7 linked regions of the Canis lupus familiaris genome follow. The protein of the gene in region 4 binds, or shares a complex with, the protein of the main gene of each other region. Links are inferred from orthologs where the notes say so. Each region holds a gene or a part of one and is shown on either strand. Other genes may lie near its edges.

Region 1 (3,977 bases), about 12 Mb from region 4:
GCGCATGCGCAGAGGAGCGGCGCCTACACGGCCAGAGGGACGCGCCCCAAAGCCCTGCCCCTCCGGCCTTCAGGCCTCCCGGCCCAGGCACAGCTGGCGAAGCAGGGGTGCCCCCACCACGCTCCACCGCGCTGCTGTAGTGTCTGCGGGGAGTACGGGGCTGGACGGGACCGACAGCTCTGCGCACCACGGCGTGGGGGCCCAACCCGGCCTGCTGCGCTCCTGTGAGCAGCTTCACCGGCTCAGGGCGCCTTCACGCCTCCAGCCGTGACCGAGATCGCCTGGCTCTGTGCCTTCCTCTCTCCCCGACTGACCTCCCCTCCGCCCGCAAGACAAAGGTCCCGAGGACACTTCCCCGACGAGCTTATGGGCAGCGGGCACTGTGGCCGCACCTGCGGGTCTGCCCTCCTCCGTGGGGCACGAGCAGAGTTCTAAAATGGGGCTGACCCCGGTGACCACCCAGTGGAACCCCTCCCCTCAAGTGTGGGAGGGAACCTGTGAATAGGACGGGATGCCACTCCTGCCATTAGGTTACAGGAGGATAAAGACGAAGGAACGGGCACGTGTGATTACGGTCCCAGAATCAGTGCCCTCTCAGCTCACCTAAAGAGATTCTGCTCGGCCGGCCTGACCTAATCAGATGAGCTCAGGGGAACAGGAACTGTGTCAAAAAATTCAAAGCATGAGAGGGATCTTCCCACTGGCCTTGAGGGAGCAAACTGCCATGCTGTGGACAGTGCTGTGGCCAGGGCCGGCGGGCAGCCTCTAGGACACCTGTAGCAGAGCTCGGGGACCCTGGTCCTACAGGGGTAGGACCCTCGCAGGGGACCAAACCCTGCCCACAACCAACAGGGCGTCTGAGACACTCCTTTAGTGCAACCTGAGCCCCTGAGCCCAAGGCACCCAGACTCCTCCTGACAAACACCACAAGATAATAAATTCATGTTGCGTAAGCTGCTAACGTGGTGGCAACTTGCTACACAGCGTAGAAAACCCATATGAGCACCCTGAGAAACGAGAGCTGTGTCTCCTTCACGGGTCCCAGAGCCAGCACGGCGCAGACAGAGCAAACATCTGTTCGGGTTCAAGTTCTCACCACTGCTGGCTACCTAGACTTGCAGGCACCGCGCTGTTAACCACGCCGATGCTACCCAATCGTCCACATCTCCGGGAGAAAGGATCTGGGTCACTGTCTCATGAAACACAACGAAAGCAAAGAGGCAGCTGAAGAAATGAAATGTTGCTCAAGTGCTTGCTTGTGTCAGAAACCACATCGAAGGTGCCTCCAACCCTGTGATCCTCACCACCGCCCGGTGAGGTGGGGGGAGTGAAGAAATGGAGCCCTGGGGGGCGGGGTGAGCTGCCCGAAGTCCCACAGCCAGTGCGCCAAAGAGCTGTGGCTCTGACTCCAGCTGCCTGGTGCTAGGACCCCAGAGGCCACACTGCCTACACGCACCAGCAACACTGGGCCCAGCTCCTGCCCTCCTCACTATTCCAGGGGAAAGATGCAGAGGTCGGTGTCGTGTTTACTGCGTAAAGCGGGGAACGGTGACAGACGGTACCAGGAGCTGACACCAAAGGCGTGGGGCCCAGGGTGGAGGATCAGGGAAGGCTTCCTGGAACAAGAATCCTGAGCTGAGAGCAGAAAAATGACTGTGGAGTTAACCTGGAGTTAGAAAGAGAGACTCCCAACGGCGTCACTCGTGCCAAGCCCCGGCCACCCCACCGCGGCCTCATACCTAACCTGGCCGCACCTGCAGCTCTCCCAGGAATGCAATCTCCACCAGTCAGCCTGGAACTTCCAGGTCAGCCCTCCCGAGCTAGTCTTCCTGAAAGAACCCCCAGCATCCCCCAGAGGAGGGGGACCCTGCCGGAAGCGATCCAGCGTCTGCTCCTGCACCCTCTGCCTACGAAACCCTCTGGGGCTCTGCGCCGTCTCCTAGGTGGGGTGCTCCCTGGCTCGTGAATAGTGGGAGAAAGCTCCCGAGATCTTTGAAATTCATTCACCCAGAGAAGCCTTGTGTTTTAAGCCTGGTAAGAGCCCAGCAGGCGGGTGCACGTCACAGCCTGGTGGCAGCTGAGAGCTCCGCAAGGCTGCCCCTTCCCCGGGAGGGACCGGGCGGCCCAGAGGAGGGCCCACCTGTGTTTAACAGGCCCCTCTGGACCATCCTTGACACCGGGCCGCGGCTCGGCAAGGGAGATGCCTGGTTGGGGTGCCCAAGCTAAGGCATGTCCTGGCATCTGGCGGCATCCGGGGGTTGGCTGCTCCCCTCCCCCCAGCGCCCCGACAGCCCCGAACAATCTGGCTGGCGTCAGGGTCACGAGTGCGGAGCCCAAGGAGCCGGGGCGGGGGTCAGTGACCAGCGGGGACCAGCGGGGGCGGCTGCCTCGGAGCGAGGACCCCGCCTGCGCCTCGGCCGCTTCGGGGTGTCTGCAGCTCCTCCCGTGCCTCAGTTTCCCCGCGTGCACGGCGTCGGACGGAGGCCGTCGCGAGTCCTCCCAGCAAAGCGCTCCGGCCTGCGCCCGGGCATCCGCCACCCTGCTCGCCTCCCGGAGCCGTCGACGGGGAGCGGGCGGCGGGGCGGGCGGCGGGCGGCGGGGGGCTCTCACCTTCGCGGCCTCCCTGAAACTTCACCCGAATCGTCTTGTCGATGTACTTCGACAAGTCCAAGATGCTCTCTTTTTTCTTCTTCTCTTTGTCCTGCGGGGGAAGCAGAGCGCGTGAGGCGCAGAGCGCGGCCGGGTCCCACGCCGCCCGCCCAGCCGGCCCCGCCGCGCGCTCACCGCCATCTTGCCGCCGCGCGCCGCTCTGCGCAGGCGCCGCCGCGCGCCCTTTGACCCCGCCCCCGTGCGCAGGCGCGGAGCGCACACGGCGCAGGCGCGGCGGGGCGCGCCGGGGCGTTGCTGGGAAACATCTGCCGACGCCTGCGGCTCGACCCGGCTGACATGGCGGCGGCGGCGGCGCTGGCGCGGCTCGCGGCGGCCTTCCTGCTCCTCGCGACCCAGGTGAGGCTGCGTCGGCCCCGCCGGCCCCGCCGGCTGCGGCGCCCGGTCCCTCCGCCCCGGGCCCCGCGCCCCGCGGGAGCCCCGCCCGGCCTGGCCTGGGGGCCAGCCTCGGGTCTGCTCGCCCCCCGCGCGGTGGCCCGCGGGCCGGGAGCCGGGCCGTGACCTTGCGGGCCGGCCCCCCCCGGAGCCCTCCCCAGCCGCAGCGTCGCCCAGTTGCGCCTGGGTCTGAAGTCCGGGAGGCCCCCCGGCTCCCCAGGCCCTGCTCCGTCCCGAGGCCCCCGGCCGCCGCCGGGGACGCCCCCCGCCTGGCCCCCAGCCTCAGTTTCCCCTTCCGCGCGAGGTTAGCGCCCACCCGCGTGGTTGCGGTAAGCCGTCCGGCGTGGCCCCCGGTTCCCCACAGGGAGCGGCCGAGAGCCCGCGTCCCGAGTGGGGTCCAACCGCCGCCCCGTGTTCTGTTGCGTGACCTTGGGCAAGGGAGGCCCCAGCTTCGGGCGTCAGTTGCTCATCTGCAAAAGGAAGACGTCAGTGAGGACTCGGCGGTGATGCTCATGGGGTGACAGCTGCAGCGTGCTCCTCCTCGGGCAGCTGGGGTCAGAGGTCTCCGGGCCAGCGGGGGGCCTGCTGCCAGCCGGGGGGTGGACATCCTCCTAAGCGCACTTTGTATTTGCAGGTCCTCCCTCCCCGGTTCCCTGGGTGATGCAGCTCAGGGAGTGGTGTCCCATTAACCTTGAGCTGCCCGCCGCAGGTCCCCATCTCTCTCCTGTAGCCTCCGGTGGCCACTTGCGTCTCACACACCCCCCAGTCCATGGGCGGCACAGCAGGAGGGATGTCTCTGAAAGTGTGTCAGGTCTGGTTGCATCCAGATGAGAGCCGCCCCTCGGCTTCCAGCGCGTGTGGGAGGCCTCTGTGGTTGGGCGGCTTGGGACGCTTCCCCTCCTGTTCCTAGTTTGCTGAAGGCGCTCCGCCTCCGT
Region 2 (4,097 bases), on a different chromosome or scaffold from region 4:
CTCCTCCGATCCTCAGAATCCACACGGCCATTCTTTGCTGAAAGGGAAATCATCACAGGCTGTGAAAATGGGAAACTCGTACTCAGGGTCAACTACAAGTACAAACCAAAAAATGAGAAAAACTAAACAGGATGAACCCATACACAGGTAACCCAGGAATACACCAAAAAGCCCACTAATGGAACAAGCACCAAACTGGGAGAATATATTTGAAACACATATAACCAACAAAGGACTCATTTGCAGATTACATAAAGAAATCTGGTGAAGCAATAAGAAAACAACAACCCAACAGAAAATGAGGAATATAACCCTTGTTAACAATCAAGAAAATGCCAATTTCCTTGTGCAATGATATACCACTTCACACCTACCAGAAAGGAAAAAATAAAATCAGAAAATTCCCAGTGTTGGCAAATACAGAGAGCAATAGAAATGCTCATGTACTGCTGGTGAAGTATAAACTGTTACAACCTCCTGGAAACAGTACAGCAAGATCAAGCTGAGAACCTTTGACCCAGCAATCTCTACTTATAAACCTGAGAGAAACTTTTGCATATGTACACCGGAAGTGTTTTACTAAAAATATTTATAGCAGCAGTATCTGAAAGGGCCCAAACTGGAAACAAATCAAATATCCACCACAAATAAAACAGATAAACATATTTTGGTATATCATCAATATAACACTATGTAGCCATAAACACCAATTTGGATGAACCTCAAAAATATGGCTAGTAAAAAAAGGCAAATCAGAAGACCACATATAGTATGATTCCATTTATATCAAATACAAAGTAAAACTAGTAGTATTTAGGGATATACAACTAAAAATAGAAATTATTAGAAAAAAATTCAGAACAGTCAATTCCTAAGCAAGTAAAGAAGGTAGATACAATTGAGAAGGGGCGTATGGGAGCTTCTAAGGTATTGGTTATGTACCACTTCTAATGGTGATAGCATTAGGAGACAATTGTCCATGGGTCTCTCATGTTTCTGTCCATATTGTGACCAGAGGCACTATCTGCCTTCAGACTACCTTGTTAAGGAGATGTGTAGTAAACAGCATTGGAAGACAGACACAGGGATCTCCCCACAGAGCAAATAGGAGGCAAGTTCACAAACCACTATAAAAAACTCTGTAAGCCCAGAGTTCCACTGTGAGTATAAGTTCCCTTCAAGGGTAGCCCGGGTGGCTCAGCGGTTGAGCGTCTGCCTTCAGCCCAGGGCCTGTTCCTGGAGACACAGGATCGAGTCCCACGTCCGGCTCCCTGCATGGAGCCTGCTTCTCCCTCTGCCTGTGTCTCTGCCTCTCTCTCTCTATGTCTCTTATGAATAAATAAGTAAAATCTTAAAAAAAAAAAAAAACAAAAAACTGCACCGTGGAGAATGACACTACAAACTCCACGGCCTTCATTAGCATCCAGAAAACTGTGGCAGGCTACCTAGGCAGCTTGCAAATAAAATCTCAAATCCTTCACAGTTCTTGACAAATGGCAAATTTAAGGATGTATGTTTTCACTCTCCTTTAAACCATACTTGTGCATTATATTCGGTCCATCTTAGTGCCTGTGATCTACTTCATCATAAAAATAAAAAAGGGAGGGATCCCTGGGTGGCGCAGTGGTTTGGCGCCTGCCTTTGGCCCAGGGCGCGATCCTGGAGACCCGGGATCGAATCCCACGTCAGGCTCCCGGTGCATGGAGCCTGCTTCTCCCTCTGCCTGTGTCTCTGCCAATCTCTCTCTCTCTCTCTGACTATCATAAATAAAAATTTAAAAAAATAATAAAAATAAAAAGGGACAGACAAAACGAAAACAAAAAAGATAAACCAGAAGAACAAATGGGATTCTAGTGTGTCCCAGAAAAAACAATCTTATCACAACTATACAAAATACCTAAGAAACAACGTCTCTTCCAAAGAAAGGGAAACATGAAGCTGACAAGGCACTTCAAAAAAAAAAATCAAAGAATATCCTGAAATTAATTATTCAACGAATATTTATCAAGCACTCTCTATGAGCAAGGTGCTATTCCGGACTCTATATGTAATACAAATATAGTTCAAACAGAGGATTTTTTTTTAAGATTTTATTTATTTATTTATTCAGGAGAGAGACAGAGAGAGGCAGAGACACAGGCCGAGGCAGAAGCAGGCTCCATGCAGGGAGTCCGACGTGGGACTGGATCCCGGGTCTCCAGGATCACGCCCTGGGCTAAAGACGGCGCTAAACCGGGGCGCCACCGGGGCTGCCCCAAACAAAGGATTCTAAGCAAGAAGTTTAAGAGCTACTATTAAAGTATAACCGTATACCGATATCCAGGACCGGAAGGCAAAATTACAGTCTTAGACAACTAGTACCGTCCTCCCCACAAGGCAGTCGAGTCCGGTCGCGGACACCAGGGAGTGTGAATTCCCCACTCACCCCCACCCCCAGGGAAGGTTGGAAATGGAAAAAGGAGAGAGCGAGAGTGGAGCCCGCGCCCAGCCGAGCCCCGCGCACCTCGCACCTCCCGCTCAGGCTCAGAGTCCTCGTCCACCTCGCGCTCCCGCTTCACCCGCACAGCCGGGACGACTGGCGTCGGGGCCTCGCGCGCGCTCACCGGCTCGACCTCCCGCTTCACACGCACTGGACTGCCCCGGGAGCTCGGCGCCTCGGCTTCCCGCTCCCGCTTGACGCGACCCGAGCTGCCCCGCGACTCGGACTCGCGCTTGCCGCGGGTAGAACCACGAGATTCACGCTTGGATCGCCCAGACATCTCCTCTACCGGCCCGGTCTCTCTGCGCAGGCTCCAGGCACGCTGTAGCGCGCGGCAGGGAGCCAATCAGAAGCCGCGCTGGTATCGTGCCCAGGGCTCTCTACGAGTCGCGGTGCAGGACACATCCTGCCGCGAGAAATCCTCTGGGAAGTACTGCGCCTTTTGTGGCGTCTGAGCTTCTGCGTGCGCCCCTGAGAAAAGCCTGCGGGCCTACTGCCGCCTTACCCATAATTTTCTGGATTTAAAAAAAAAAAAAAAAGAGGTCTCATTGGGCTCCGGATTTCTTCGAGCTTCTTTGTGCCCGGGAGGTGGTCTCCAGAGTCGCTGCTCACCAGAGAACTAGGCGACCTCCCTAAATCATCCCCTTCCTGCAGCAACCTAGCTACTCCAACTCCGCACTTGGAGGATTGTTCTCGGCGTCCCAGGAAAATGCAAACCACAGGCAGAGAGAGACGGCCTTGATCAAGCTAAGAAAGCTCAACTTTCAGGGCCTGTGGCCTTCACGATCCCCTCCACGGCCCTGATCGAGTGTGTCCAGCTTTACCGAGATGGAATGGGCATATGCAATCAAATGCATGCTTAAAGTGTGCCGTTTGCTAAATACTGATGGATGGGTGTATACACACTCTGAGACCATCACCACCATTAAGATAAGAAACCTACCCACCAGCTCCAAAATTGTCCTTCCCCAAACACCTGCTTTGTCACCACGGGGAGTAGCTTTATGTAAATGGAAGCCCAGGGCGTGCCCTCTCTTTGGCCGGGCCCTATTAGCTAGGAGAATTTATTTTGAGATTCCTCCACGCCTTTTCCTGTACCAACAGCTTGTTCCTTTTGATTGCTCAGTGGTGTTCTATGTGTGGATGTGCCAGTGTGTCGCTATGCTAATCACAAATTCCCAATTTTGTCCTTTTCTAAGTCATTCATGAGAGACAGAGAAGACAGGCAGAGCCCTAGGAGAGGGAGAAGCAGGCTCCCTGCCGGAAGCTCCAGGTGGGACTCGATGCCCGCACCCCGGGACCACGCCCGGAGCCGAAGGCGGAAGCTCAACCCGAGCCACCAGGTGCCCCCCTCCTTTCTTAGAGAGGGCTCCAAAACTATATGCAAATTTTGAACAGCGCCGGGTCCTCCGGCGGGGACAGTTAAGCCATACCCACAGGTGGACCCGGGCGCTGGGCGGGCTGGAGGGGCTGCGCGGCAGGCGTGCCGCTGGGTGACCCGCCTGAATACCCGCCTCCTCACAACCTCTTTTGGACGTACTTGCGCTGTGTTCTCGTTTACAAAGGAGGAAACCGAGGCTCGGCGGCGTTCAATAGTCAGCCGAGGTCAGGCAACCGG
Region 3 (3,500 bases), on a different chromosome or scaffold from region 4:
GGCCATAAGAGGACACAGCAGGAAGACAACCACCTACAAGCCTCAGGAGAAACCAGACCTACCAACACCTTGATCTTGAACTTCCAGACTCCAAAACTTTGAGAAGTAAATTTCTGCTGCTTAAGCCACCCAGTCTGTGACATTCTGTCACGGCAGCCCTAGCTGCCTAAAACCACAGTCTATCTATTTATGTCTTCTTCAATGTCTTTCAAAGATGGACTGCAACTTCCCCCATAGAGATCTATCTCACACATCATTAAATCTTTTTTTTTAATTTTTATTTATTTATGATAGTCACACACACAGAGAGAGAGAGAGAGAGAGAGAGAGAGAGAGGCAGAGACACAGGCAGAGGGAGAAGCAGGCTCCATGCACTGGGAGCCCGACGAGGGATTCGATCCCGGGTCTCCAGGATCACGCCCTGGGCCAAAGGCAGACGCTAAACCGCTGCGCCACCCAGGGATCCCTATCTCACACATCATTTATTCCTTTTTATTTTGTTGCAATCGGCCTCTCTCTTATCCATTTTGTTATCACTTATCTATGCTACTTTACTATTTATACTGCTTTCACAAACAGTACCTTTTTTAAAGTTATACTTTCTCTCTCTTGTTGGTGTGTGTAAACACAACTGGCTCTTATCTGGTAATCTTATACCTGGCAGCCTTGCTGAAACTTGTGTGGTCTGGCTCTCAGTTCCCACCACCGCACCCCAAAAGACCACGATTTAGACAAGACCATCAGTGACCTCCATGTTGCCCAATCCAAAGGTCAATGCTCATCCCCAATACCCAAGTTCTCTGGAGCATGCGTCACAGATGCTTACACGCTTCCTCTCAAGAGCCACTTGTCACGTGACTCAGGACCTTGTCACATGACCCTCTCCTCTTGGCTACCCTCACGCACTTTCCCTTCTCCACACTCACCGTCCTGATGACTCCAGCTGATCCTAGGACTTTAAATGACTTCTGCATTTATAACTCCAGTCTCAGCCTTTCCCTTAAAGTTCAAATTCACATATCCAACTGCCTGTTCAGTATCAAATACCCCTAATAGAAAAGCACTTTTTATTAGACTTAACCAAAACCGAACATTTTGTTATCTCCCCAGCTCTTCCCATCTCAGGAATGGCCTTACCCTCTCCTTAACTCAGCAAGAGGCCAGCTGTTCAAGTCAGAATTCTTGGGAGTCATCCTTAACTTCTTGTACCCACTCACAATCTTGCACACAATCTACAAATGAGCGCTGTTGATTCTACCCTCAAAATGCATTCCAAATACAGCCACTTCCTCCTGTTTCTGCGGCTACCATCACAGTCGACGTCATTCCAACTGGATGTCTGCAACAGCCTTCCACTGCTTTTCCTCCAAAGACAGAACTCTGATGGCTACATCTACCGCAACAGCAAGTCTCTGCCTGAATGGCCCGTGACCATCTCCTTCCCTGTAACACTCCCTGGGGTTCCTGCCCCTGCAGCCATGCAGGCCTCAGCCAACTTCCTGAGCAAGCCCAGTGGCTCGTGTCTCAGGGTCTCAGGGGCCAGGTGTTCCCTCACCTTGGACTGCGCCCTTAGATGTCACTGATACTTACACTTCATCTGGATCTCAATGGTCACCTCCTCGGGGAAGCCCACCCTGACCAGAAGACCTAAAACGGGAGCGCTTCTTCACTCCTCATCTCTCCACTACCTGGCCTTTTCCTGTTTCTGCTCACAGTGGTTTTCCTACTGGATGTTGTTTATGTCTTCTTTCATGTCCTCTCACTAGAACAAAAGTTCCACAAGGACAGACTTCTGCACTCTTGGTTATCCTCATTCACACCCCTTTTGGCTACCGCCCCATTTCTCTGACCCTCTTTGCAGCAGCGGTGGACAGCATACAGCCCACCACCTGCTCTTGCCAACCAAGCCTTTTTGGATCACAGCCACGCCCACTCACCACACCATCCAGGGCCATGTTCCCTGCTGCAGCAGAGCACCTGGGTCACTGAGGCCGAGACCACCCGCCGCTGCACCTCCAACATTCGCACAGTCCACCTGCTCTCGCTCTGAGGGACTGTCCCCAATTGCTGGCCTGGCTTCCTTACCTCCTCAGTCTTGCTGACTCTATTATTCCAGATCGGACCTGCCTCTCAGGAATTAGAGGACTCCCTACTCCCCCTCCTCAAAAGCCTTACTTGGCTGCTGTGCCACCCACTCCCATGGCTCTCTTCCAGCTCAGGGGCTGCTGCTTCTCTGACCCCACAGCAGGAGCCCCCACGGGCTGGGCCACTGCTCCAGTCTCTCCCCCCTGAGCTGGGAGGGGTAGGGTGAAAAGCGTGGACTTTGGAGTCAGGCTGTTCAAACCCCAGCTCTGCCACTTACCAGCCATGTAACCCCAGGTCACTTCCCTAAGGCCTCTATGCCTCAGTTTCCTCATCTATAAAACGGAGATAACAGAACCTTCCTCACAAGGTGTTGCAGTGAACATCAAGTCACTGGATATACAAAGCACGCAAGCAGGGCCTGGCCCAGGCAAGTGCCCACTGAGGGTCAACAGTGGTCATGGCCATAAGGCCCCACTGGCCTCTGTCCGGCTCATACTGCCAGGCCCTCAAGTGTTCTAGGCTACTCCTCCCAAGGACACCTGCTGTCTCTACCACCTGAGTGCCCAGTCTGCCCACCCACCTCCACCCTGAATCTCTGCAAGATTGGCTCCTCGTTGTTATTTATGTCTCAGCTCAAATGCCATCCCCTGCAAGGTCTCCCCTCAAAAGCAGACCCAAGACTCCAGCCCTCCAGCCATCTGCTCCGCTTTCCACAGACGGTCTGCCCAGCTCCAGGTGCTACCAGAAGTGCTGTGTGCGCATGTGCACACACGCTTACTGCTACCCTGCCCTCAGGCCACAGCTAGAGAGGCAGCTCCAAGAACACAGGGCCCCTCGCTGTCCTGCTCACCAGTGATACCCCCACCCCCGGGGACAATCCTTACTCCCAGGAGGAATGCAACACCCAGCCATAGAAGGAAAGAAGACAGGGAAGGCTCCAACTTTAAAATATCTTGAGAGCAAAACACTGGTTGATCTTAAAGAAATCTGCTAACAACATGACATTACACACACAAAAGAGTTCCAAACTGGAATGAAGGTGCCATGCTCCTGAGGACAGGTCACCATGGACACACCTGTCCCTAAAGGCCCTGGCCCTGAGGAGGTCAGCATGCCCCCAACCCCACGCTCAGCTCCTGGGCCCCCTCACCTTCTCACCGCTGTCTCGCAGCTGCTGGAGTTGCTGGAGCTGCCGCAGGCGACGCCCCTTCTCCAGCTGCTTCTGCAGCTCCAGCTCTGCCTCATCCTCCTCCAGCACCTCTGGGGACCCTGACTGTGGTCCTCCAGCCTCTTCTGAAAGAAACAAAGGGAAGCCCTGCTCAGATCACCTCCTTGCCCAGGGCCCCTCAGCCCGGCCCTTGCCACCCCTACCCTGCCCCGGCTGGACAGGCCCCTCACCCTCATCGCTGATGTCC
Region 4 (4,105 bases):
TCTCATTTGGACTTCATCTGTGCGATGGTACCCGGGTACAGAGAGCCACGGAAAAGCAGGAGGATCTAACACACGGGGGCCATGAGCCTCGGCCGCTGTTTACTAGGTGAAGTCTCAGGCTTTCTCGAGCAAGCCTGTTTTCTTGTGTCAAAGATGGGAATGTGGACCAGGATGGCAATGACACCCTTGGGTCTTCCTTCCAGATCACCCAAGAGGGGACAGAGCAAGGTTGGGCCTGGAAGGCAAGAATAAAGACAGACTCAGCACTGAGAGACAGAGAGGTATAGCCAAGGTCCCCCTAGATGAAGGACTAGCAGCCAGAGCAGGAGGGACCTTCCCAGGGACACCACAGCAAGATCCTGGGGAAGCCCACGAAAAGTAAGCTGAAGCCTGTCACCAGGAAACCCACAGGAGTCCTTTTATGGCATGTGCAGCTTCTATGCCCCTGCTGGCCTCTCTTTTGTCCCAGCAACTGGCAGCACAGTCCTGGAGAACCCCAGCTTCCCTGTCACGGGCAGTGCCCTATTCAGAAAGCAGCAGAGAGGACATCTAAGACACAGAAGTGATCCACACCTGCTCCCAACACTCCCCTGCACATCCACTCCCCAAAGGAGTCACAAGGCCAAGCCAGCTCCAGCCAAAGTGGCCCATTCGGTTTCCAGCAAGCCACACCCAGTCCAGCTTTCTGACCTTTGTTCCTGCAGTTCCCTTGGCCTCAGCAGTCCTTCCTCAGGCTGGTGGCTGCTCACATATCACCTCTCACCTAGCTTAGCCAGGCCCTCATAATAACCTCATCTGGGGATCAAGATTTCCACCTGGGCCACCCCCTGCTGCTTCCATTCTAGGACACAGCCAGTCTCTAATTATCTTGTTTATTATGTCTCTCTGGCTAGACTGGAAAATTCAGAGGGTGTGGACTTTGTCCAACACCGAGCTCAGGGCCAGGCACTCGAGAGGGACTCAGTAAATATTTGCTGAACAAATACACAAGAAAATGCATACACCATCCGGGGAGGCACATGGTGTGGTTGGGATGCCTGCCCCACCCCACAGATAAGAAAAGGAGAGGCGGCATTGGGAGGGACAGCTCTCTACGGCTGCAAAGGCTGGGAGCAGGGTCCACATCTTGCCATTTTTGAGATTCTCATCCCCAAACTGCTGGAGACAGAGGCAAGAGGAAGGGGAAGATCCCTGAGAACTTTAAAAAACTTGGTGGGGAAGAAATTTTTGAAGGTGCCAAGGGAGATGGGACAAGCCAGGACACCATTCCAGGGAAGACAGGGCCACCTGGAGTTGGGAAAGTCAAAAGCTTCTGGAAAAAGCATCCTTTCCCCTGGCCTTTTTCAGAATGTCTGGAATCTGGTTCTCAGGTCTAGACCAATCTAAGATTAGACCCGATGGCTTCCTGAGGCTCCCAATTCAGGAAGCTGTTACGGACTCCCCCTTGCCCCCCTATACCCTCAGATCCCTGCTTCCGGCCCCACTATAACCCACGGGGAACTGGGAGTGTGTCATGCCTTGTCCCTTCCTGGACATTCTTCAGGCTGAAAAAAAATATGTTCTTTGCACAAGCACTGTTCTAGGCTCTAGGAACATACTGGGGGATAAAATCCAAAGATCCAGGGAGCTTAAGGAAGAAGGAATTTTCCAGTTCCACCCCTCCTCTCAGGCCACCTCTGCCCTCCAGCAGAGAGGAACACACTACACTCCCTTCTCTCATTTCCTGCACCAGTGAGCAGTACTTAGTGCAACCCTCAGCTGAGAAACATGCAGGGACCCTGAGGGACTCTGGTGCTGATGGGCCAGGTACTCTCCTAGGCCTGCTCTGAATTTGTGTGGTCTTGTTTCCCTGTCTATACATTAAAAAAAAAAAAAAAAAAAGTAAGCTCTACTCCACGAGCAACGTGTGGCTTGAACTCACTACCACGACATCAAGAGTGGCAGGCTCTGTAACTGAGCCAGCCGGACGCACCTCCCTGTCTGGACACTGAAGGCAGGAGACACTCTGACTTAAATCCAGAACTTTCAGGATCTGATAACAGCATGATCCAGAAGAGGCTTCTCACCAGGACCTCAATTTCTCTTCAGTGAAATGGGAGGGTGCAGTTAGTCCACTCCAGGCTCAAAATGCTTCCCCTTCTCCGGAAACGACACCCTGTGTGATCCAGGGAGAAGACAAAGCCCCCTCTCTGGGTCTATTTTTTTCAGCCTTAAAACGAGAGGCGTAGAAGATCGTGCTAACATTCTAAGGGCCTTGCAAATCTTGACATTCTCAAACTGGTTTAGTTTGAGAACTCAGATCGGGCCCCCTCGGGTCGCTCCCACTTCCCAATATGTGAAGCTAGATTGGGTCGGATGCACTCGGAGCCACTCCCCTGCCCGAACTCCCTCTGCAGCATTCACCGAGCCCTTTAGCGGGTCTCTCAGGCCCCAGTATCCCCATCTGCAAAATGGGAAGACTGCAGCGAGGCTGACCTAGGATTACACGTTCGTCCAAGTCTATTCCCCCCGAGACTGACAGGCTGGATGCTCTGGGAGACCTCCCTGCCCTCTCCGGCCTCAGTGTGCCCGTCACGGGCCGAGGCGGCAGAACCGAGGCCCTGACAGCACGCTAGCTCCGCGTCGCCCCTGCCTGCAGCGCCCGCCCCGAGGGCCCTCGGCCGCCGCGTTCCCAGCCTCCCGAAGAGACCTCGCCGGCGCCCTGCCCTCACCATGGTGTCGGCGGGGAGCGGGCTCGCCGACCACTTCCGCCGCCGCCGCCGCCACTCACGCGCCGCCGGTAGCCGCCCTGCCGCGCGCCACTAGGCTGAAATGAAGTGGCAGCGACACGAACCAATCAGCGTGGGGCTCGAGGGACGAGCAGCCAATCCACGCGGAGTAGGGGGGGTCGGCTAGACAACGACGGGCGAGGTTGGCTGTGTTCTCGCCGGCCAAATGAGAGGCCGTAAAGTGTCGACGTGAGTGCTGAAAACGGGGGCGGAACCGCGTGCGCCAGCGCAGGGGGCCTTATGGGTAAAGGCGCATGCGCGGGTGAAACTCTCTCAGCCCTCCTGGGCTCCGCGCTGTGGGCAAAGCCGGATATTGCTGCAATTTGCAAAGGAAGAAATCGAGGCTCCGTGGTTATTGGGTTGTGCCTAATGTCTCCCTTAGGGCTCCTACACTTTTGATTTTCGTTATTGTAGTTGATCCTTATCCAAGGCATGTCCTTTGGTTAGGTTGGAATCCTGACTGTGCCCCTCTGAGCCTCAGTTTGCCCCTCTGAAAATTGGCCTCGTGATAGTGTCTACCCTCGGTTGTAGTAAGGATGAAAGGAGTTAAGCTAGGTAAAAGCACTTAGTACCCAGGCGTGTGATAAATATTTATTGAGCACCTGCTAGGTGTCTGTTCCTGGAAACACAGAGTGAACAAACCAGACGAAACTGGCCCTCCTGGGACTTAGGAGCCCGTTGAGAAGACAGGTGGCAAGGAAAAAAAATAGGCAAATGTGTTAGTTTCCTTGGGCTGCCATACAAATTACCATAGACTGGGTGGCTTAAAACAGCAGAATTTGGGGCACCTGGGTGGCTCAGTCTGTTAAGCATCTGACTTCTGCTCAGGTCATGATCCCAGGGTCCTGGGACCAAGCCCTGTGTGGGGCTCTGCTCAGTGGAGAGCCTCTGTGGTTCTCCATCTCCTCCTCCCCTCCCCACTGCTTGTGCTCTCTCTCTCTCTTGCTTGCTATCTCAAATAAACAAGATCTTAAAAAAAAAAATAGAGCTTTATTCATAAGTCTGAAATCAAGGTATCAGTAGGGTTGATTGCTTCTGGAGATTCTTAGTGGCTATTTGTCCCATTCATCTTTTCCAACTTCTGGTGTTTGTCAGCAATCCTCATAGTTCTTGGCACCCAGAAATATTGATTTCTGCCACTGTCTTCACATGGCTTTCTTTGTGAGTCTCATTATCTCAAGTCTTCTCTCTTTTTCTTTTTAAAAGATTTTATTTATTCATGAGAGACACACACACAGAGAGAGAGGCAGAGACACAGGCACAGGGAGAAGCAGGCTCCCTGCAGGGAGCCCGATGTGGGACTCCCCTCCTGGGACTCCAGGATCACCCCCTGAGCT
Region 5 (4,214 bases), on a different chromosome or scaffold from region 4:
CTCGGGGGTGAATTCCATGCAAATCTCTCCTTGGGCGTGGTGCTGGGCTTGGGTACCAGTCATCACCTGGGCCCATGTTTTAGGTGGACATGCACGACGACTCTATCTCCGAGTGCGCCTTTGCTCGTGGTGCCGTGGGCGTCCTCTGGCACCCGCATACGCCTGGGGAGAGCGCCCAGACCCCTGGCGGTGCAGGCTCAACTTGGTGGGTAGCAAGTCTGGCCTTCTGACCCCGGCGGCCCCCAGCCCACCCTAGCACTTCCCAGGGAGGCCTGGAACAGACGCATCCCTCTTCCCTGCAGCGGCCTCCTTGGAGCGGCTCTGTCCTCCCCATGCCCCGCGAAACCGCCTTCAGCGGCACCCCCTGAGCCCCGGGCCAGATCCTGGGGCTGCGTAGGGAAGGGGACAGGTGCTGCCCGGCTGTCTTCCTGGAGTCCCCTGCGGTGGGTTAAGGGAGGCTCCTAGGGGAGCAAGTGCCCCTTGAGGGAGAGATCTCTGGAGAAGGCGAGGATAAAGGAGTGAGAAATGGAGGGGTCGGTCTGGCCCTCCACCTGGGCCTCGGTGGACCGACCATCCCAGGACCAGGGAGGATGTCCGCCTCCGGCCCGCGCCCTCCCGCCGGGACCTTGGCTTCCTCCTTTCCCCGCCTCAGAGGCCCCCGGGGGGTGGGCCCCCCGGGAGGTGCAGGCGCTCGTCCTGGAAGCCACCGCCAGGTTGCAAGGTCGCCCGGACCCCCGCAGGCTCCCTTTGCAGAGCAGAGCTGCGCGCCGCCGCTAGACCGCGGAGCTCCCGAGCGCGCCCGGCCCCGGGCTCGGGCTCGGGAGCAGGTGCCTCGCCGCGCAGACTCGCCCGGCGGGCGCGGGGACCGGCTCGGGCGCGGGGCGGGCGGGGCGGGCGGGGCGGGCAGGCGGCGCGCGTTCCCCGCCGGCCACACGGCCGCCTGGCGCCCGGCGAGGGGCGTGTGCGCGGCCCGGATCCCTGGGCCCCATGTTCACGGAGCTGAGGACCAAGCTGAGCCCCCCGCGAGGCCGCGCCGGGGCTGTGCGCGCCGGCTTCGGGGAGCGCCGGGATGTGGACGGTGAGCAGGGCTGACCACGGCGCGGGCGGGCGGCGGCTTGAGCCGAGGGGGGCCGCATCCTGGCCGATCGGGGTCCCTGGTGCCTTTGTCCTGATGGGGGGTGGCCTCGGGCCGGGGCATCAGCGCACCCTTGGCTTGGAGGAGGTTACGGCTGGGGCTCCTGCCCCCCGCTGGCCCACCCCGCGGTCACCTTTCCCTTTGCGCGCCCTTCCCTCCCCTGCTCCGCCGTGGGGCCGACAGGAGCCGAGGCCACAGCTGGGCTTGGACGCCCCCGGCCCCGTTTCATGGTGGAATTCTGACGTTGGGGCTAAGAGGGAGGGACGGAACGACGGGCGGACAGACAGAAAGACGCAGATCGTTCCCCTAGCCTGGGCAGCAAATGGGCGGGGCCCGCTGGACCCCGACAGGTGCAGCGCCGCGGCGACGCCCACCTCGGCCAGAGCTTCACGCTCCTGCCCCTGCCCCTGTTCCTGCCCCTGCCTCTGCCCTTGTTCCTGCTCCTGCCCCTGCTCCTCCCCTCCCCCTGCTCCTGCCTCTGCTCCTGCCCCTGCCTCTGCTCCTGCCCCCGCCCCTGCCTCTGCTCCTGCCTCTGCCTCTGCTCCTGCCCCTGCCCCTGTTCCTGCCCCTGCTCCTGCTCCTGCCCCTGTTCCTGCCCCTGCCTCCTTCCCCTGTTCCTGCCCCTGTTCCTGCTCCTGCCCCCTGTCCCTGCTCCTGCCCCCTGCCTCCTGCTCCTGCCCCCTGCCCCCTGCCCCTGCCCCTGCTCCTGCCTCTGCTCCTGCCCCTGAACCTGCCGCTGCCCCTGCTCCTGCCCCTGCCCCTGCCTCTGCCTCTGCCCCTGACCCGGCCAGCCCACTCCGCCAGGCCCTGCAAGGCGAGGCCGAGTGGCTCTGGAACCTGTGCCCTGAAAGATGCCAGCTTAGAATAAGTCTTTTTCCGTGATATCAGAAACCTCATCCAGGCAGGGACCGCACCAGGCACACCCTCTATTTGATCCTGGACCTCAAATTTAGAGTCACCTGGGGTCATCCAATTCCGAAAAGTTGCAAGTATGAAGACGGCGTGCTGAATCGGAGGAATCTGAAGGGCTAGAAGGGGGAAGTGATGGGTTTTCCCCATGGCTGAGAACTCCTGGGCACACAGCCAACCCCTCCCTGCCCTCAGCTGGGGGCACTGGGTTGTGTCCATGGAAGGCAGGGTCTCTCATTCTAGGGCTGAGAGCCAGGGAGGCGAGGGCCCTGGCCGAGAACCTGCTTCTGCCTGCCGAGTTGGGGCCTAGGTGCTGTAAAGATGAAGGCGAGCCTGGGCCCAGCTTCCTGTCTCTCCCCAGGGCTCTACTGGCTGTGGACACCACACAGAGCCTTTCTCCATCCACCCAGCCAGCCAGCCACAGTGTTCCTGGGCACCTGCTGTGTGCCCAGACCTGTGCAAGGGTCAGGAGGCCATTGTTAGGGTGTCTGCCCTCCCGTGACCTATGTGAGCAACGAGCCCAGGAAGGACAGCGAAACTAAAACTTGAGGAGTGTAATGAAGTCTGTGGAAAGAAAGCGCCAGGTGTCCCCGTGGCTCCCCGAGCTCATGGCTGGCCCCTGCACACCTGTGCTGAGCAGCCCATGTCCGCTGGATGCCCACCCACGGGAGCTGTCCTGGGCCAAGGGCCCTGCGACAGGTGGCAGAGCAGGGTTCCCGGGGTGGCTTGCCTGCAGTTCATTCAGGCTTCCCGCCGAGGGGTTGGCAGGTGAGCACCGCACGGCAGGAGCCACGTCTCAAACGCCAGGTATGGCTGCAGAGTTGGGGTGCCGTCAGTGGCGATGGCAGGCAGCATTCTCGGGGACGCCGTGACGCAGGGCCTCCCAGGACAGAGGGGCCGCAGCGTGCCCTGGTCTGGCTCAGCGTGCGTCAGCCTAGAGCGAGGGTGAGACGAGGCCTGTCTCAGGGTAGCTCCTCACCAGACTGTGAACCTTAGGCTCCCCGGTGGGCACACTGTCTCTCGAACCTATGCGGAACCCCTCGTGCTCCCCAGAGCACGGCCAGTGCGCCCAGAAGAGGAAGGATGCTCCCAGGCCATCAGCTTTGGGCTGGGCGGGCTACGCAGGACCGTTCTTGCGCACTTCCTTCCTGTCCCTGGGGGCTTGGGGCCCCCCGATTGGGAAAAGGGGCCTCGTGTTCAAGGGAAGATGGGTTGAGCAGGGAGTTGGTTTGCAGAGAGACGATCCTCTGGCCCCGGCCCTGACCGCCCTGACCAGGCGCCCATGCCCCGCAGCCACTGCACACTTCAGCTTCTGCCGAACCCTCCTGGAGCACACGGTGTCCGCTGAGAGCATCCCCTGCCACCTGCCTCGGACGCCAGGCACCAGCCTCACATGGCACGACTCCCGTAGCCAGAGGGCCGCTGGTGGCCGGCCGGTCAAGCTCCTGCAGCAGCCTGGCACAGAGGCCCCCCAGGTACCCACCCGCCGTCCCCCCTCAGCCCCTGCCCTCCCACCACCTCACCGCACCCGGCACCCGTCTCCCCCGCAGGGCCGGATGTACTCTGACCACTATGGCCTGTACCACACGAGTCCCTCCCTGGGCGGCCTGACGCGGCCTGTGGTCCTGTGGAGTCAGCAGGACGTGTGCAAGTGGCTCAAGAAGCACTGTCCCCACAACTACCTCGTCTACGTGGAGGCCTTCTCCCAGCACGCCATCACAGGTGCCCTTGGGGGCTGTGGCATGGGGGGGCATAAGGATCCCCTGGAGAGCCCCCCCAGCCTGCCTTTGTCTCTCTTGCCGTCATTTGTCTCTCCTCGGTTTCCTCTTGGGCCAACCTCTCCTGCCAGGGCTCTCTCTCCGCAGTCTCCCCGGCGTGTTGCTCCGTTCTCATGGCTTTTCTCTGCCCTCCCCTCTGCCTCTCACTCTCTTTCCCTCTCTAAATCCTGCTGTCTCCGCCTCTCCTTCTGTGTCCTTGAGTGTCTCTGTGTCCCCTTCCCGTTTCCCTCTCTCTGCCTCGGCTCTTAATGCCCCTTGGAGGTTGACCTTGGCTCAACCCCTCTCTGCTCAACCCCTGGCTCCCAGGCCGGGCGCTGCTGCGGCTGAACGGGGAGAAGCTGCAACGGATGGGGCTGGCGCAGGAGGCACAGCGACAAGAGGTGCTGCAGCAG
Region 6 (3,975 bases), on a different chromosome or scaffold from region 4:
AGAAGGAAAAAGAGCTTATTAATACCACCACCACACCCATCATCTAAAAACCCCTTTTCACCCATCAAAGATACCTGGCCTCTTTGCTCCTCCCCCACATTCCCATTTTCTCCAGGTCATTGCTTCTGTTTATAATCCCAACATCGTCAATTAATACTTAGAGTCTAAACAATGATTCTTGGCAAACCAAAAGATTAAAAAGCCCAAGCAAACTAATCTTTAAGCCTATTGTCATGTTCAGTAGCTCAGCTTTAGAGCCCTGATCACAGGAGCATCTCATTCCCAACTTAAACCCACTGGGCCATGAACATTTATTTAACCAAGCCAAGTAATCTGTAATCTCTGCCTCACAAAAATGGGCTACATCTAAAAAAACGCCCAGCTTTACTGTACCTTACCATTGTTATATTATTTCCATTTAGCAAAATTTGATCTAATTTAGTGATCCTTCTTCCTTCTGGTGTGATTTCACTAAATGAAGAAATAAAAGAGTCAAGATAAACAATGATAATCAAAGCCAACATTCTGATCCCTAAAAAAGTTATTCTTATATTATATGAATATGAGGTTGAGCAATTATGTCAGTAGTTTTCAGAGACAAAGGTTATCCACTGGATGACCAAAGGCAACACAGTGAACTGACTGGCCTCAGATCCACATCCACTAGGATCAAAACTAAAAGAAGCTAAAACTGGCCAAAGAGATCAAATATGAAATGGAATGTTTACTAGCCTCACCTTTTTACTATTATTTACTACTAATCCCTTACCCATTAAACCAATCTGTAATCAACTCAATTTTGAAAGCAGACACTGGTTGTGATCTTTAAAACTAATATAATGGAGCTATCATTTATATCTTAAGTTTAATGCCTTGATTTGTCTGAGCACAAACATCCTTGGCTGTTTTTAGTATCTTTTATCTCAAAGCTCAGTCTCCACTAAGTCCCTACCAGTCATTAATAATAACATAATAATTACATCCGGTAATAACTGATCCAATTTTACCAGTGTCAGTAGATAAAATTTCTATCTTTAAGGTATTTCTGACAGGCAATGTTTTCTCATTAATCATTTTAAACTCATTAATACTAAAATTGACTTAAGGAGAGATTCCCCCCAATTCTTTAATTTTTAACACTACTCACAACTCAGTGACATCCTCCAGTACCATATCTGAAATTTGGTGTTAAGAAAAATACATATACCAGGTTGAATTTACTCTGGCTTCTATCTTTACTCCATTTTAATTACAACGTTTAATACAATGGCTCCAGAGCAAAATACTAGTAATCGGTAGGAACTTTATCTTTTTTCAGTACACACACCTCTTAAAACGCTATCAAGAGGTGAATAAATTTCTAATACAATAACCAGTTACGTACTGACTGTCCATATTCTTATTTCTGTTCTTAAGTACTGCAGGAAAACCCATACCACCACCACCTTTTGAAAGGATACTGACAAAGTCATCAAATCCCAAAAGTGTGCCAACAATTTCTTTATCACTCTTCATCACAATGTGAATTCTTGATCCTATACATTTGTCCACGAGCTCTATATATATATATATATATTTTTTTTTTTTAAAGAAAAAAAAAGAGGGGTGGGGGGGTGGAGAAAAAAAGATTATTTTACCTGTTCATTTCTTCAACAAATATTGGAATGCCTACTGGCACTTGTTAGTTACTTACTGTGAAAGATAAACCAGAGAAAGTATTCATTCAAAAACTTTAGAGATTTTACGGTACGTTATCTCTGTTGCATAAACAAAAACGTCCTGTTTACCACTTACCTCTCCTTTGTTGAAGTTTATCCATCACGGTTGTGGTTTAATGTTATTTTAAGTGATTTTGATTAACATACGAAATGCATAATTAATATATAATTAACATCTGAGCCCCCCCCACCCCCTGCAGCCCAGGTGGTTCAGCGGTTTAGCGCCTGCCTGCAGCCCAGGGCGTGATCCTGGGGTCCTAGGATCGAGTCCTGCATCGGGCTCCCTGCATGGAGGCTGCTTCTCCACCTCTCTGGGTGTCTCTCATGAATGAATAAAAATGTTTGTTTGATGTTTTTTTTTAAGAGTCTAAGCCCCATGAAACAACTGTGGTTGTTTTCCCAGGACTCTATCCTCAGTGGGCAATGTCTGGCACATAGCAAGCGTTCAAAAAGAGTTGGTGGAATCAAAGAATGAAAACTTCCAAAACAAGGCCACTTCCGATAACTCCATCAACTCTTTGGCTACAAAATATCGGAAGAGGCACAACCGTATCCACCAGAGATTTCTTCCTGTCACTATCTCTGTGTTCGGACCGCAGTTTGAACGCCTCGTTAGCTGGCTTCGTTATCACTCGGCGTGATGCTTACAGGTGGAGCGCTCTATCTCCTCCTGGTGTGTGTGCTATCCGCAGGCAGTGGGAGGCGTCTGAATTTGTCCAAGAGCGCCCAGCCCTCGTGCCTAGTGCAGAGAGGCTCCCGGGCGGCCCGGGGCCGCAGACACTCGGGAGCCGGCAGACGAGCCGCGGAGCACTGAGGCCCTTCATCCCCACATTTCCCTAACACTCGACCAAGGGCTACTTCAGCCGCAGCCGCCCGGGCCCCAACACTTAGCCTGAGCCCTCCGGTCCCCTTCTCCGCGATTACCTAGAGGCAGCAGCTGCGACGGGTTAGTGGTAGCGTTGGCCGCCATGGCTACGCCGGAAGTGGCCCGCCGGCCTCGCCGTCAGCCCGGCAAGTTTGAAAGAGCGCGCTTCCGCTCCCCCCGCCGGCCCGCGGCCCGGACAGGCTCGACCAATCGGAGGCCGAACTTGCGATCCAATCAGTCCGCAGGAGTCGCTCCTTCCCAATCGCTTCTTTCCCGGGCGCTGAGCTCTCGGGGAGAAGGTTCCGTCCGCTGCAGGTGGTGCGGTCTGGGCACGTAGCGGCTTTCCCCGGGCAGTTTCCGACAGACAGACGCTAAAGGGATCCTGCTTTGTGAATAAATCCTTCCTGCAACCCGGAAGGTTTTGCAAAATACGGAAATCTTTGAATCGTCTTATTTTCTGCTATGAAGTTGCACCTCATCTCAAGCCAGGATCTTTTTTCAGACCGAACCAAAAATTTTTTTTTTTTTTTTTTTTTTTGCCACTAATGCACTGTGTTGCAGTTTTTGTAAAAGCCGTTTTTCAAAGCATCTACTCCTAGAGCGCCCATGTGCCTCAGTGGGTTAAGCCTCAGACTAGATCTCAGCTCAGGTCTTGATCTCAGGATCCGCTGGTTGGGCTCCACGTTGGGTGCGGAGCCTATTTAAAGAAGAGAGAAAAAAGAATCTAGTGCTTCTTTTTAAAGTCCAGTGAATTGAAAACCCACAACCAGCATTTAAAAAGAAAAAAAACCTTCTACAGTGGAAATTTAAAACACATTTTATTTTTATGCCTACTACCTTATCATTCTTACCTTGTTGTAGCTAGGAGTCCAATTTATCACAGACTGTATCCACTTTCAACACTTAACTGTCTTGTCTTATAAGCAGCCACCAGATGTCACTGTCCGCTAATGTCATCACACAGGAAACCTTAAGGCTTTTTGTTTTTTTTTTGTTTTGTTTTGTTTTTTTAAATTTTTATTTATTTATGACAGTCACAGAGAGAGAGAGAGAAGCAGAGACACAGGCAGAGGGAGAAGCAGGCTCCATGCACCGGGAGCCCGACGTGGGATTCGATCCCGGGTATCCAGGATCACGCCCTGGGCCAAAGGCAGGCGCCAAACCGCTGCGCCACCCAGGGATCCCAGGCTTTTTGCACTTCTGTTTTGCAAAGAATAGAAAGCAAACAAATTCTCTGCCTTAAGTCTGTTTCATATTTGTATCCCAGGAACGTAAGGCTGACGAGTCTAAACAGGAGAGAGCAGAAAAAAACATCATTCATTCATACAACAGATAGTTGTAATACACACATCATTCATTCATGGAACAAATATGCATTAGCTACACACTATT
Region 7 (4,060 bases), on a different chromosome or scaffold from region 4:
TTCTTCTCTCAAACTCAGCTAACACTTCGGCCTGTCGTTCACTGATGTGCTCTTCAATTTCAAACACCTCTCCTATAAGAAGAACAGGTAATATCAGCATTATCACTAGATCTTCAAACAGAGGGGAAAATAATTTCTTACAATTGCAGTCTGTGTATCCTCTAGGAACTAATTTATTACATACTTTATTGTTTCTCAGTTTATTAAATTTTGCTAAACACAAAAAACTAAATGATAGCTCATTTAAAATTACTTAAGTCATCTTTTTTTTTTTTTTTTAAAGATTTTATTTATTTACGAGAGAGAGCGAGAGAGACAGTGCAGGAGTGCAGGGAGGAACAGAGGGAGGAGAAGCAGACTCCCTGTAGAGCAGGGAGCCCAACACAGGGCTCAGAACCTACCACCCTGAGATCGCGACATGAGCCAAAACCAAGAGTTGGACGCTTAACCAACTGAGCCACGCAGGCTTACCTCACATCATCTTGTTTTGACAACCTTACATCTACATACACACATAACTTAGAGGAGATCAGAAAGTAGAAGTACAAAGCACTTTCAGCAAATGAGTTAACTAGATCTTCTATCCAGAAGATAAAATAGATACAGTACTTTAACACTTGCCAAACCTATTCTCTAAACCAGCCCCAGCTGAGGATATCTATGACTTTAACTAGTAAACTGGAGAAAATTACCATTAAAGGGCTTTCCCTTAACTATAGACTTTTTGGATAACCTAGCAGTTAGTTTTAAAACCAACACTGGGGCATCTGGGTGGCTTAGTCGGTTAAGCATCTGCCTTTCGCTCAGGTCATGATCCCATAGTCCTGGGATCGAGTCTCAAGTGAGGCTTCCTGCTCAGTGGGGTATCTGCTTCTCTGCCCCTCCCTGGCTCATGCTCTAATAAATAAATAATAAAATAAATAAATAAAACACACACTGACTATGAGGATTTTTTTTTTTTTAAGTGTGGGTGTGGAGCCCAACTCTGGGCTTGAACTCACAACCTTGGGTGGTTCAGCGGTTGAGCATCTGCCTTCGGCTCAGGACATGATCCTGGAGTCCCAGGATCGAGTCCTGCGTCGGGCTCCCTGCATGGAGCCTGCTTCTCCCTCTGCCTTTGTCTCTGCCTCTCTCTGTCTCTCTCTCTCTCTCATAAAAAATAAATAAAATCTTAAAAAAATAAATAAATAAAATCTTTATGGGATCCCTGGGTGGCTCAGTGGTTTAGAGCCTGCCTTTGGACCAGGGTGGGATCCTGGGGTCGGGTCCCATGTCGGGCTCCCTGTATGGAGCCTGCTTCTGACTCTGCCTATGTTTCTGCCTCTCTCTCTCTCTCTCTGTCTCTCATGAATAAATAAATAAAATCTTAAAAAAAAAAAAAAAAAAAAAGAAAGAAAAAGGCTCTCTAGATGATGCTAACCAGGGTAGGCAAAGGATGGCCTTACATAGATCCAAGTTTAACTAACATTTTTGATATTATAATACAAAGATAAAGAGGGACTCACAATTTGCATCTTACCAGAGGTTATGTTAATATTTCCTGCTTCAATTCCAGCTTTAAGTCCTTCTTTTCCCAAAATCCCAGACTCTCCTTTGGCCAGACGCTCCCTCTCCTTCTCTTCCAAACTTCCGTAATAGATGTGTGGTTTCTTCACAACAGGAGCAACTAAGTCATCAGGTGCCTTAGTTTTGGTTGCCTGATAAATCAAAGACACGGATTAACCTAAGGTCTGATACTAACCACTTATTAGGCTTCCCCCAAAGGATGGAGCTCATCCTGAGCTTCAATCCTATTTTCCCCCCAAATGAAAAGGACAGGTCGGACACCAGTTCAGGTTATCTTCACTGACTGGGGGGCGGGGTGTCTCTCCAAGCTACTTAGGTTCTGCAGACGGGAAGAGGCTAATAGAACTAGTCCATCATTATTCTTGGTAACTTTTCTATCAAAGATTTGCTTTGGAACATGTCTGCATCATTCCGTGGCAACCTCTTCTTGGGTTTTATGAAATTTCCAAGGTTACCCCTCATCACAGGGGCAGTATCAAGGAGAACAACCAACGCAGTATTAAAGGGGGGCAAGTTAGTTACTTTTCGGTACATTTCAAACGTTTTCAGAGTAAGGCAACACATATGAAGTTAGGAGGCCAAACTGCAATGAAGTCTGACACAGACGTGAATCTGGGCCTTCTAGAGCTCAGGTTTTGGAGCAGTCGGAAGAGGTATTTACCGTTCGGGCCTGTAGTGAGGGGTGCAAATGAATTAAAACACGGGAACGGGGGGATCCCTGGGTGGCTCAGCCGTTTAGCGCTGCCTTCGGCCCAGGGCGTGATCCTGGAGTCCAGGGATCGAGTCCCGCATCAGGCTCCCTGCCTTGAGCCTGCTTCTCCTCCCTCTGCCTGTGCCTCTGCCCCTTTCTCTGTGTCTCTCATGAATGAATGAATAAAATCTTTACAAAAATAAAAATAAATAAAACACGGGAACGTACTTCGGGGTCTGGAAAACGCTGCTCCTCTAAGGACCGAGTCTCTCAGCCTTTCACCTCCGACCTCCACCGCCTTAGCCCGTTCCCCGAGGGACCCCATTTCGCAGGAACCGCCCCCCCAGCCCCTTCCGCGCTCCCCGCCAGAGTGAGTGGAGTTCCGTACCGTGGAGGCGGCTCGTGAGGAAGCCATGCTGAGCTCCGCGGCCGCCAAACCCCGGCGAAAGCCGAGCTCTGCGTTTTCAGACCGTCCACCGCGCGCCCGGCAAAGCGGAACTGCGTCACTGGCCGGAAGTGGGCCGACGCAGCGTCGTGGGTGGCGTGGGGCATGACGGGAGTAGTAGTAGGGAAGCGTCGTGGCGCCAAGAGTAGCGTGAACTTAAGGAGAAAAGCACGCGGCGGACGAGACTCTGCAGAGCAGTCTGGGAAGTGTAGTCCCGCTCGCTTAGCTGAAGATTCGCGGTGGGCGCCGCCGGGGTTCCGGGAGGAGGCCGAGCAGGCTTGGAAAGAGGTAGGTGCGTCGGGCCGCGCGGCCGCGGGCTGAGCTCCGGAGCAAATGGAGGGCTTCCGAGGCCTGCCGTGGCCCCCGGCCCCGCGAGGGGCTGCGGTGGGCCCGGAGCGGAGGGCCAGGTTGCCATGGAAACCCTCGCTGTGGGCCCGCGGGTGCCACTCTGCAGCTGGTCGCCCTCCCCGCTGTCGGGAGGTTGTCCCAGGGCCCTCCTTGGAGCGGGCTGAATGCGCAGTGGATTCGGGCGGCGGCCACCAGCTCCCAAGTAGAACGGAGGCCCGGAGGAGGAGCCACGGCCTGCTTTTATTGCTGGTCTTCAGCCGAGTGTTTGTACCGGGGTCGGAGTGAGGCGATGCCTGTCAAGTGCACACGGGCACCTCTGCACGGCCTGGGTACCGCGGGGGCGGGGGGGGGGGCGGGCTGCGGCATCCGACAGGAGCAAGGCCAGGGCTTTCCCCCCTGTCGGGGGTGGAGATGCTTGAAGTTTGGGTGATTCTCGGGCCGGACGGAGGCCCCCCCCCCCCCCCCCAAGGACAATTAGGATGATAATAATAATAATAATAGCTGGTGTTTATTGGGCGTTTACTAAATGCCAAGTTGTGTTCCAGGCACTTACACTGCCGTACCTCACTCAGTCTAGACAACAGAGGGCAGAACATGAGGAAACCAGCGTCCACTGTGAAGATGAAGCTAGTGTCCCAGAGGGTTGGCGTGTGGGATTAGAGCCCCTGCCCTCTGCCCTTGGGCCTCCTGAGCGAGCAGCTTTGCCCATCACTCGGTACTGCCTCCTAGTGGCGAGCTTTACAAAGTTTGCAGAAAAGTGAGGAACCTGTACGGCAGGGTTTTTTTTTTTTTTTTTCCCTCCCCTACTCTCCCTTGGAACTTCGGCTTCCTCTACCATTTGTTTACATCGGACTTAAGAGAGTATCTGATTTATTTCTTTGATTTTACCTTTTTTTTTTTTTTAAAAAGGGAAGATTTTTATTATTAAGTGATTCTACACCCAATGTGGGGCTCAAACTTAGAGCCCCCACATCAAGAGCCCCATCCATGCGCCACCAACTGAGCCAGCC

What was found.
Region 1: LSM4 (region 4) and LSM7 share a complex: the UniProt entries of both Homo sapiens proteins name them as parts of the precatalytic spliceosome. The link is inferred for Canis lupus familiaris from reciprocal best matches to the Homo sapiens genes LSM4 and LSM7.
Region 2: LSM4 (region 4) and USP39 share a complex: the UniProt entries of both Homo sapiens proteins name them as parts of the U4/U6-U5 tri-snRNP complex. The link is inferred for Canis lupus familiaris from reciprocal best matches to the Homo sapiens genes LSM4 and USP39.
Region 3: LSM4 (region 4) and SART1 share a complex: the UniProt entries of both Homo sapiens proteins name them as parts of the U4/U6-U5 tri-snRNP complex. The link is inferred for Canis lupus familiaris from reciprocal best matches to the Homo sapiens genes LSM4 and SART1.
Region 5: LSM4 (region 4) and PRPF6 share a complex: the UniProt entries of both Homo sapiens proteins name them as parts of the U4/U6-U5 tri-snRNP complex. The link is inferred for Canis lupus familiaris from reciprocal best matches to the Homo sapiens genes LSM4 and PRPF6.
Region 6: LSM4 (region 4) and LSM5 share a complex: the UniProt entries of both Homo sapiens proteins name them as parts of the precatalytic spliceosome. The link is inferred for Canis lupus familiaris from reciprocal best matches to the Homo sapiens genes LSM4 and LSM5.
Region 7: LSM4 (region 4) and PRPF4 share a complex: the UniProt entries of both Homo sapiens proteins name them as parts of the precatalytic spliceosome. The link is inferred for Canis lupus familiaris from reciprocal best matches to the Homo sapiens genes LSM4 and PRPF4.

The regions. Positions count from the first base shown.
Region 1 is NC_049241.1:57,200,347-57,204,323, reverse strand, and holds the start of LSM7 (U6 snRNA-associated Sm-like protein LSm7), read right to left. Parts: upstream 2,801-3,977; 5' UTR 2,791-2,800; coding exon 2,785-2,790; intron 2,702-2,784; coding exon 2,611-2,701; intron 1-2,610. Other genes in the region: SPPL2B (signal peptide peptidase-like 2B), read left to right, coding at 2,947-3,006. UniProt on the Homo sapiens protein: Plays a role in pre-mRNA splicing as component of the U4/U6-U5 tri-snRNP complex that is involved in spliceosome assembly, and as component of the precatalytic spliceosome (spliceosome B complex).
Region 2 is NC_049238.1:39,815,587-39,819,683, forward strand, and holds the start of USP39 (U4/U6.U5 tri-snRNP-associated protein 2), read right to left. Parts: upstream 2,801-4,097; 5' UTR 2,760-2,800; coding exon 2,504-2,759; intron 38-2,503; coding exon 1-37.
Region 3 is NC_049239.1:51,806,163-51,809,662, forward strand, and holds part of SART1 (U4/U6.U5 tri-snRNP-associated protein 1), read right to left. Parts: coding exon 3,484-3,500; intron 3,379-3,483; coding exon 3,236-3,378; intron 1-3,235. UniProt on the Homo sapiens protein: Plays a role in mRNA splicing as a component of the U4/U6-U5 tri-snRNP, one of the building blocks of the spliceosome. May also bind to DNA.
Region 4 is NC_049241.1:45,115,006-45,119,110, reverse strand, and holds the start of LSM4 (U6 snRNA-associated Sm-like protein LSm4), read right to left. Parts: upstream 2,801-4,105; 5' UTR 2,715-2,800; coding exon 2,712-2,714; intron 1-2,711. UniProt on the Homo sapiens protein: Plays a role in pre-mRNA splicing as component of the U4/U6-U5 tri-snRNP complex that is involved in spliceosome assembly, and as component of the precatalytic spliceosome (spliceosome B complex).
Region 5 is NC_049245.1:48,284,600-48,288,813, reverse strand, and holds the start of PRPF6 (pre-mRNA-processing factor 6), read right to left. Parts: upstream 2,801-4,214; 5' UTR 2,786-2,800; coding exon 2,775-2,785; exon of another isoform or gene 2,164-2,774; coding exon 2,095-2,163; exon of another isoform or gene 1,887-2,094; intron 1,079-1,886; coding exon of another isoform or gene 988-1,078; exon of another isoform or gene 920-987; intron 1-919. Other genes in the region: SAMD10 (sterile alpha motif domain-containing protein 10), read left to right, coding at 3,073-3,519, 3,595-3,766, 4,129-4,214. UniProt on the Homo sapiens protein: Involved in pre-mRNA splicing as component of the U4/U6-U5 tri-snRNP complex, one of the building blocks of the spliceosome.
Region 6 is NC_049235.1:44,955,705-44,959,679, forward strand, and holds the start of LSM5 (U6 snRNA-associated Sm-like protein LSm5), read right to left. Parts: upstream 2,801-3,975; 5' UTR 2,689-2,800; coding exon 2,643-2,688; intron 1,557-2,642; coding exon 1,461-1,556; intron 1,176-1,460; coding exon 1,148-1,175; intron 472-1,147; coding exon 399-471; intron 1-398. UniProt on the Homo sapiens protein: Plays a role in pre-mRNA splicing as component of the U4/U6-U5 tri-snRNP complex that is involved in spliceosome assembly, and as component of the precatalytic spliceosome (spliceosome B complex).
Region 7 is NC_049232.1:68,050,460-68,054,519, reverse strand, and holds the start of PRPF4 (U4/U6 small nuclear ribonucleoprotein Prp4), read right to left. Parts: upstream 2,801-4,060; 5' UTR 2,673-2,800; coding exon 2,646-2,672; intron 1,698-2,645; coding exon 1,520-1,697; intron 73-1,519; coding exon 1-72. UniProt on the Homo sapiens protein: Plays a role in pre-mRNA splicing as component of the U4/U6-U5 tri-snRNP complex that is involved in spliceosome assembly, and as component of the precatalytic spliceosome (spliceosome B complex).